2 linked regions of the Zea mays genome follow. The protein of the gene in region 2 interacts with the protein of the main gene of each other region in a pairwise test. Links are inferred from orthologs where the notes say so. Each region holds a gene or a part of one and is shown on either strand. Other genes may lie near its edges. The genes, in order: protein BRICK1 and SCAR-like protein 2.

Region 1 (3,738 bases), on a different chromosome or scaffold from region 2:
GCCTCCTCCTCTTTCGTTATCTACAAGAACGGACCGTCGTTAGCGCAACACAGGGCATTTGGTCTAGTGGTATGATTCTCGCTTAGGGTGCGAGAGGTCCCGAGTTCAATTCTCGGAATGCCCCTGTTTTTTTTTTTTGCATCTTTCGACTAGCAGCATATGAAATTCGCATACATGAAGAGTTGAAGATCCTAAAAATTAATAATAAGCAAGATCCTTAAAACGAAAAAAATACTATAAAGTAGCAGAGAGAGACGGTACAAGTTACGAATCAAAAGGAGATCCCGCCAGCAGGAAGGAGGCTATGCTTTGCTAGATCTCTCTCATGGAGAAGGAGGAGGAGGAGGAGGAGCTTCCGGCGGCTGTGGTGTGGCCACGGGGAGAGGAGAGGAGAGGAGAGAGGAGAGAAAGAAACCAACCAAACCAAAGGGAGGAAAGATAGTTATTGTTGTGTGGTGGCAAGGCGATACAGCACCAGGACCACTTGCCTTTTTTTCTTTTCTTCCCCCACCCAATCTCCATTCTACTATTATTATCTTTTCAATTCTGCACATCTTTACACATACCACAATAATAATAACAAAATCCATTACATTACATGATTGATAGCGACCAGAATTCGTTGGTACAAGCAACATTCATACCTACATTTATCTATTTATTTATACATATAAACCCGCGATTCCTAGTTGAAGACGGAAGGGTTGGTCGTCGCGCTGCCCACTTGGACTTCAAGCACCTCCAGCTTCCGCTCTAGGATGTCCAGCTTCTCGTTCAAACTTGCCAGCTTGCTCTTCGTCGTAGCTTCTGCAAGCAAGCACATCTTTAGTAACTCCTCCAAAGTAGATGGTCAGAGTTAAGTAGCAAACACACATGCATGATAGATGGGAATATATCTAATGCAAACCATATTTTGGTGCAAACTCTATACAAACCTACTAAAAAAAGTTCCGAAAATTTCTGAAAAAGAACATGAATGTACATCTGAGGTTACATCATATATACACAAAATTTTATGGTCAAATTCATCTTACTCTAGCAGATACAAAAAAAAAACAAAAAATCTGACAAACAATAATAGTTCAAATGCACCAAAATTTGTCTTTTTTTTGTAACTGCTAGAGTAAGATGAATTTGACCATGAAATTTTGCATATAGATAAGATAAGCTTAGATGTACATTTATGTTTTTTTAAGATTTTTTTAAAACTTTTTTAGTAGATTTGCACGGGATTTACAACAAAACATGGTTTGTATTCGATATGTTCCCTTCGTACTTACCATGAAATTAGGACGACCAGGTATCTATTGTTCATAAGCGTTTCCTTCCCATAGCTCTTGCTGCATCCTCATGTACAACAATTGCTTCTCCCACAGCAACTCGAAAGGGATTCACATACCATCAAAAGATCCAACTATCAACAAGTGGTTGTGAGGTCTGAATCCCATGTTGGTGCTGTGTGGGATTCAACTATCAACTATTTTTTAAAAGGTACTTAGTGACCGCAAGTTACAGCCATTCCATGCAAAACCCGAGCCTAATTGACAACGAGCATGAGGCTGGTAAGTAGCAACAGGCCGAACGAGTAGGTAGGCAGGCTATGTAGATGGATGGCTGTTAGGATGTGTTGTCTGACATCAATTCAAACGTCGCCGGAATATTGATTATCCCACAATGACTAGTTAAAGCATCCGGTCTCATGGGTAGTTTGAGCAATTGTCTGCCATCCCACAATGACTAAACATAAGCTCGGGCAGGGCAAGGTAATATGCGGGTAGCAAGGACAATTAAGCTCCGCGTGGTATGGTATGAAGCACGAAGGCGGCGGACCAGATCCAAAAGTTGGAGATCCAGATCGAGAGAGGGCAGGCCGCGGGGAAATGGAATGGAAGAGGAGCTGACCGAATCTGAGGAGGAAGTCGAAGAGGCGTCGGACGTTGAGGGAGATGTTGGAGATGAACTCGCGGTTCTCCCAGTCCGCCTGCACCGCGATGCCCACGTTGACTGGGTTCCCCATCCCGCCGCCGCGACCCATCCCTGCCACCTGCTGCGCTGCTTCTTCCTCCACCAGCACCAGCACCAACTAAACTGTCCTCTGCCTCGGCTGTTGCTTGCCTCTTCTGTCTTGGAAGGCCAGGCTGGATGGTTGGTGTGAGTGGGCCAGGTTGTGCCGGGCCCTTCTCGCAATCTCAGCCGATACAAAGCCCAAGTGCCTGAGATACCCAGTGGGCCTGGAGATGGGCAGCAACTGCAATTATGCAATCAATAGCCACGGCGGCGGCGCTGCAGCTGCTGTGCCGGCCGTCGCTGAGCGCCGCTCAGCTCCGGCAGGTGGACGGGCACCTGCTCCGCTCCTCCACGCTCCTCCTCGCCGACCGCTTCCTCCCCAACCAGCTACTCCGCTCGCTGCTCCCAGCGCACCCGCTCGGCGCCCTCCGCCTGTTCCCGCGCCTCCGCCGCATCATCCCCGACTTCCGGCCGAACAACTACACCTTCTCCTTCCTCCTTAAAGCCGCCGCAGACTCGTCAGCGCCACCGTATCTGGAACCGGAGTCCCCATTCGGCTCCCACGCCATCGTGCCCTGTCTCCACGCCCTCGCCGTCGTCCTGGCCTGGGACGCCCACGCCTACGTCGCCAACGGCCTCATCCACGCCTACGCCACCCACGGCGTCCTGCCAGCCGCCCGCCGCCTCTTCGGAGGCGCCGTCGCCTCCCGCGCGGCCGACGTGTGCTCTTGGACGTCGCTCCTCACGGCCTGCGCCAAGGCCGGGCACGTGGATGAGGCGCGCGCCCTGTTCGACGGAATGCCCCGCAGGAACGATGTCGCCTGGAGCGCCATGCTGAGCGCCTACGTGGCCGCGGGCAGCTTCGGCGACGCCGTGCGGCTGTTCGAGGACATGCTCAGGTCGTGCGTCCGCCCCAACAGGGCGGCGGTGGTCGGGGTGCTGACCGCCTGCGGGGCGCTCGGGGCGCTGGACCAGGGCAGGTGGGTGCACGCCTTGCTCGTCGGCGGCGGCGGCCACGGCGTGGCGATGGACGGCGTAGTGGCGACGGCGCTGGTGGACATGTACGCCAAGTGCGGGAGCCTGGAAACGGCGAGGCAGGTGTTCGCGGCGGCACCGCGGGGGCAGCGGGACGTGTTCGCCTACACGGCCATGATCTCGGGGCTCTCGGACCACGGCCGCTGCGGGGAGGCGATCGACCTGTTCGGGCAGATGCTGGTGGAAGGGGTGCGCCCCAACGAGGTGACCTTCATCTGCGTGCTCACCGCCTGCGGCCGCGCGGGCCTCGTCGGCCGCGCCAAGGAGGTGTTCCGCAGCATGGGGGCGGTGCACGGCATGGAGCCCGGCGTGGAGCACTACGGGTGCCTGGTGGACGTCCTGGGCCGCGCCGGACAGCTGGCGGACGCCTTGGAGGCCGTGCGTTCGATGCCCATGAGGCCCGACTCGTACGTGCTGGGCGCGTTGCTGAACGCCTGCGCGGCGCACGGCGACGTGGAGGCCGGCGAGCAGGTGGTACGCTGGCTGGCGGAGCTGGGGCTGGACCACAGCGGGGTGCACGTGCAGCTGTCCAACATGTACGCCGGGTGGGGCAAGTGGGAGGAGGTGCTCAAGGTGCGGCGGGACATGGAGGAGAGGAGGGTGGCCAAGGTGCCCGGGTGCAGCATGCTAGAGGTGGGCGGCGTGGTCTGCGAGTTTGTTGCCGGCGACCGCTCGCATCCCCTGATGCCAGAGATC
Region 2 (4,507 bases):
CTGAACTCAGTTGTGTCTTCGAACTAAGAGAAGAAGATCTGCTCATATTGTCAGGATTAGATCTTGCATCAGGTGTAGACTTATGCTCTGAGATACCCTGACCATCGTTGCTGGGAGATGCAAACTGCCTGCTGGAAAATACACTATTAAAAATGCTGTTCTGGATGTGCCATTCAAATATAAGAAGGGAACAGCCATAGAAGATGATCACGGATACAAAATTATTGTATCTTAAAGTATGGGATGTGCAACACCTGTTAACAAGTTGGCCAGCAGTAAGTGATCGCTGAAATTCAGTGCCCCTATGCCTAGGCATGGCTTGTCCATGATATGGTTCCCTTAGTCGTGATCCTTTTCTCTGTATAAGTTCATAAGCTCTATTAAGTCTTTCGGCAAATCCCAACATGAAAAAATATTACTAAGCACATATATCGACTTCAGACACTGAGAATGAATATAACCTTAATTTTCTGTGATCTCTTTTCTCTTTGTACATTAGCATTCTTATCTGCTCTCATCGTATCCCATGCTTTCTTGAAATAAGATGGATCAGAATATCTCTTTACACAAGCCCCCGCACCAGCATTGTCAAATCTGGAAGGAAATAATTTTAGATATGAAAAATGTTTATTAAGGAAAGCTTCAGCCCTTACTTATCAAGAAGGTAAAGCCGTGGCGGATCTCGGCATTCTTCATACGAATCCATCATAAAACGAGGCAGATCAGTCGCTAGCAGGTGATTTTGCTCATTTTGAAGCTGAGTGTGCCAATCAGAGCCTGTGTTTTATTAGTAAATTCTGTAAGATTGCAAGATAATATTGATCTCAAAGAATTCAAGATGGACAAGAGAGACATTCAAATACTATAATGGACAATCATGATCAGGGTACTTTTAGACATCAATGGAGTAATGAATAAATAATTACCCGGAACATAGGCAAAATGTATGTGACTCTTCTGATTCTTCACAGCCTTTTCGAGAGATGGAAGTGCTGCTTCGATGTTCTGTACTCGAGTCAGCACCTTGCGACCCCTAGCAGATGTAGCTATAACTTGCTCGTGTAGGTCATGGAAAACATCAGCCGCGAATCTGGTATGACCAAAGCTAGCACATCAATTTCACCAAATATTATTTTTTAAGATTTATTAGTATATCAAGGAACACAGTACGTAAGTAAACTGTCCATAGGTTATACAAAGGGAAAAAATGATAGAAGCATTAACAGACAAAAACAAACCCCCTCGGAGTGGCAACAGTTTTGCCCTAGCAAGAAATGGCAATTACCAGAACCCATGGAGATTCTCCAGCCAAAATTAGCAAAGAACTCTTGAGACAAACATTTACCAACATCAAGCCAACAAAAATGCGTCCAGTCAGACAGCCGCTAAGCAATCTAAATTCTAAAACAGAGCCTTTCAAAACTCACTAGTTGCTTCATATAAGAATACAAGATTAAAAAGAGACTTTCTGCAAACATAAATTGTAAGCTAAGACAAGATCTTACTTAAGACCTCCATGTCGCACCCGAGAAACAAAGCCAATCAGCACTGATTCAGGAAAGTGTGTCCTCCTCTAAAGAGCGAATGCGGCCGAAAAAAACCAGCTGAATGATCCCAGCAGATATAGCTGTTATGCCATATGCCGCTCCGGAAACCTGAAACCTTAGCGCCATCCAATCCAGTCCTAACACTAGACCTCAGAAAAAAAAAACCCAAAGACCGCCGCTGCTACAGAAGGACATCCAAATCATTCCCAGATAGTGCCACAATTTTGAACAGCCGGCACACGCAAACACTGCTCTAACAGTTCCTGTTGCTATGGCACATCACAGCGCTCGTTCACCCTAAGCGAATTCAACCACCTCAACACTGCTCTAACAGATCCCACTACTTCATCTCACTCCCATTCTCCCAATCCCAAGTCCCAACCACAGGGCCGAGCCCAAAAAACCCAACCATCCCCGCCGGGAGCCGTTAAACACGTAGCGTAGCAGATCCAGGCGGGAACCAGACCACAGAGACGCGCACCGGCGGGCGGCAGGTCGAAGGCGCGCATAGACCGGGCAGGAGGAGGAGGCAGCGAGGGAGGGAGGGAGCAGGGCCTTACTCCGCGAGATCTCCGAGCTGGCGCAGGATCCCGACGAGGCCCGCGACGGCGACGCCCTCGAGCAGCGCCTTGGGCTCCTCCTCCCCCGCGGCGGCGGTGGCGGCGGCGGCAGCGGCAGCTCCGCCGCCGTAGAGGCCGGGGTCCCCCAGCCCCACCTCATTCCGCACCTCGAACCTGACCAGCGGCATCGCCCTCCGCGCTCCTTCGTCACAGCCTCGGCCTCGGCAGCCGCCGCCCCCTCCTCATGCACCCGGGCCGCTGCGCGCTGCGCTGCGCTGTGCTCGCCGACGCGACGCCGCAACGGCTGCTTTATTCTGGTGGCTGGCGCGGTGTGGGAGTGGGAGTGGGAGGGAGCAGGTGCCGTGCGCCTGGTTGCCGCCCCCGCAAGGAAGAAAGAGGTGGCAGCAGGATGGCGGCTGGCGGGCGGGCTGCGGGAGTGTGAGCGTGAGGTGGACTGGAGAGCGGGTGGGGTGGGGTGTGGGGAGGAGGAGCGGAGAGCGGAGAGGGGGGGTGCGTCGGTCTCCGACAAGGTGAGGGACGAAAGGGACGCGGGGAGGAAAAGGCAGCGCGGCGGCACGAGGGGTAAGTGGCGATGCGGTGCGGTGGTAGGAGCGGGCGTGGCCGCCTGTGCTCTCTCTCTATCTCTGTCTGTCGTGCGGCCTGCGGGCGGCTCCGTCCACATCCACTCGGGTTGAGCGCCGCCCGCAGGTGGGTCGTGGCCGTGGGTGCGTGCGCCGGTGCGGCTGCTGCTTGGCTTTCCTTTGTTCCGGTCAGTCAGTGCCCGCGTCCGCCGGGTCAGGCCGCGGTTTCTGCCGGCCGGCCGTGTTGTTGTTCACCGTGGACTTTGGGACCTGAACAGAATCAAATCTTGGGGCATGCGATTTGGGCCAGTCCAGTCTAGTGTTTGGTGGTGGCCTGGTCATGTCAGCCGCGCCGCGCTTGAGAATTGAGATGATGCTTCTTCTATACATTATTAGTCCTTTCTTAATAATTCACTGGAGTGTTGTTGTTTTTTCCCCCTTTTGTCAAACTGTGCGAGTGAAATATAAAAAAAAGTGTACGTACGTACAAACACAATGTTTGTGTTGTTACAGAGCTTGCCTAAATCATTGCAGGCGGGCAACCTGCCTGCCATTCTTTTCTTTTGAGATGTCCTTTGGGAGGAGGGTGGGCGGATCTTAGGGTAGATCTAATTATTGGGTCAAGTGTTTACGTGAGCGCTTTTGTACTTGATGTGAGGTCCGTCGGGCATGACTAATGATGGCGGCGGCTGAGCAGGTGCCAGTGGTTCCTGTTCTAGCTAGCTCAATGATCCCGTGGAATGTAACGTAATGTAATCTAAAAGGGGGGACATTGGGGCTTTCTTTAATTTTTTTTGTTTAAAGATGTTTGATTAGATGCATATAAAATGGAACTGTGTTTTCTATGATGTACAGTCCGTACACCGGATTGATCATAAAATATATTTTTATAATGAAGTTATTTGAAGATATAATTGATGAAAGTATTATATATATATATATATTTAGTGATTGTTTTTTAACAAAAAAACTTCTTAAATCTCAGGCTGGCCTAATACGTTAGACAAATCTAAGGCTGAGGGCGGACGCGGAAATGAGCATCGAGCCATAGACGACACATGGTGGATCCAGCAAAGACCTCTAAAAAGTTATCTACTCTAAATATAGAGGATCAAACAGTTATCCATGCTCTACAGCAGCGTTCTTTAAACGATACTCTAAATTAAGAGGATGCTGCTAGATTCTCTATATATATTTATAATTTCTCTAAACGGACCTCTATTTATTTAAATACTTTAAATAAACGGTTTAGAAAAACTAAAATTTGTACAATACATTTGAGAGTATTACAAATACGTATGTAAAAAAATAAAAATAAAATATCTTTAACATAGATATTTGAGTATAGAGAGTGTTATTGGAGAGGAAGAAGATATAGAGAATGAAATTATTAGAGAAGACTGTAAATAACGGATATAAAAGATGAATATAGAGGCTGTTGCTGAAGACGGTCTTATAGAAACCGCCTTTACCTGGTTCCAAGTTCCAACGGAAGAAAGGGCGTCGAATTCTGTTTCGGTTGTTGGCATAATGGCACCTGTAGCGAGTAGCGACGGACAAATACAAAGATGGAGGTATAGGTGTACATTCGGGCCGCCCGGCCGGCCCAAGCCCGAAAAGGCCCGTATTATTTGAATTTCGGGCCGTCCCGGACCGACCCATGAGCCTAGCTTTCGGTCCACGGCCCGACCCGTAATTGCTTAAACGTGTCGGGCTCATTTCGGCCGGCCCGAAATTATAAAAGCCTGAAATTCACATTAGGGCCCGAAATTCAATTTTTGGCCTAAAATTCACATCAGAGCCCTAAATTCAAAAAATA

Evidence for each region.
Region 1: the proteins of SCAR-like protein 2 (region 2) and protein BRICK1 interact in binary tests that used the Arabidopsis thaliana proteins (3 or more experiments, as listed by UniProt). The link is inferred for Zea mays from reciprocal best matches to the Arabidopsis thaliana genes WAVE2 and BRK1.

The regions. Positions count from the first base shown.
Region 1 is NC_050100.1:225,127,348-225,131,085, forward strand, and holds protein BRICK1, read right to left. Parts: upstream 2,098-3,738; 5' UTR 2,036-2,097; coding exon 1,903-2,035; intron 808-1,902; coding exon 686-807; 3' UTR 556-685; downstream 1-555. UniProt on the Arabidopsis thaliana protein: Involved in regulation of actin and microtubule organization. Part of a WAVE complex that activates the Arp2/3 complex.
Region 2 is NC_050103.1:24,585,994-24,590,500, reverse strand, and holds the start of SCAR-like protein 2, read right to left. Parts: upstream 2,910-4,507; 5' UTR 2,296-2,909; coding exon 2,108-2,295; intron 1,091-2,107; coding exon 927-1,090; intron 778-926; coding exon 654-777; intron 595-653; coding exon 462-594; intron 359-461; coding exon 255-358; intron 132-254; coding exon 1-131. UniProt on the Arabidopsis thaliana protein: Involved in regulation of actin and microtubule organization. Part of a WAVE complex that activates the Arp2/3 complex. Regulates trichome branch positioning and expansion.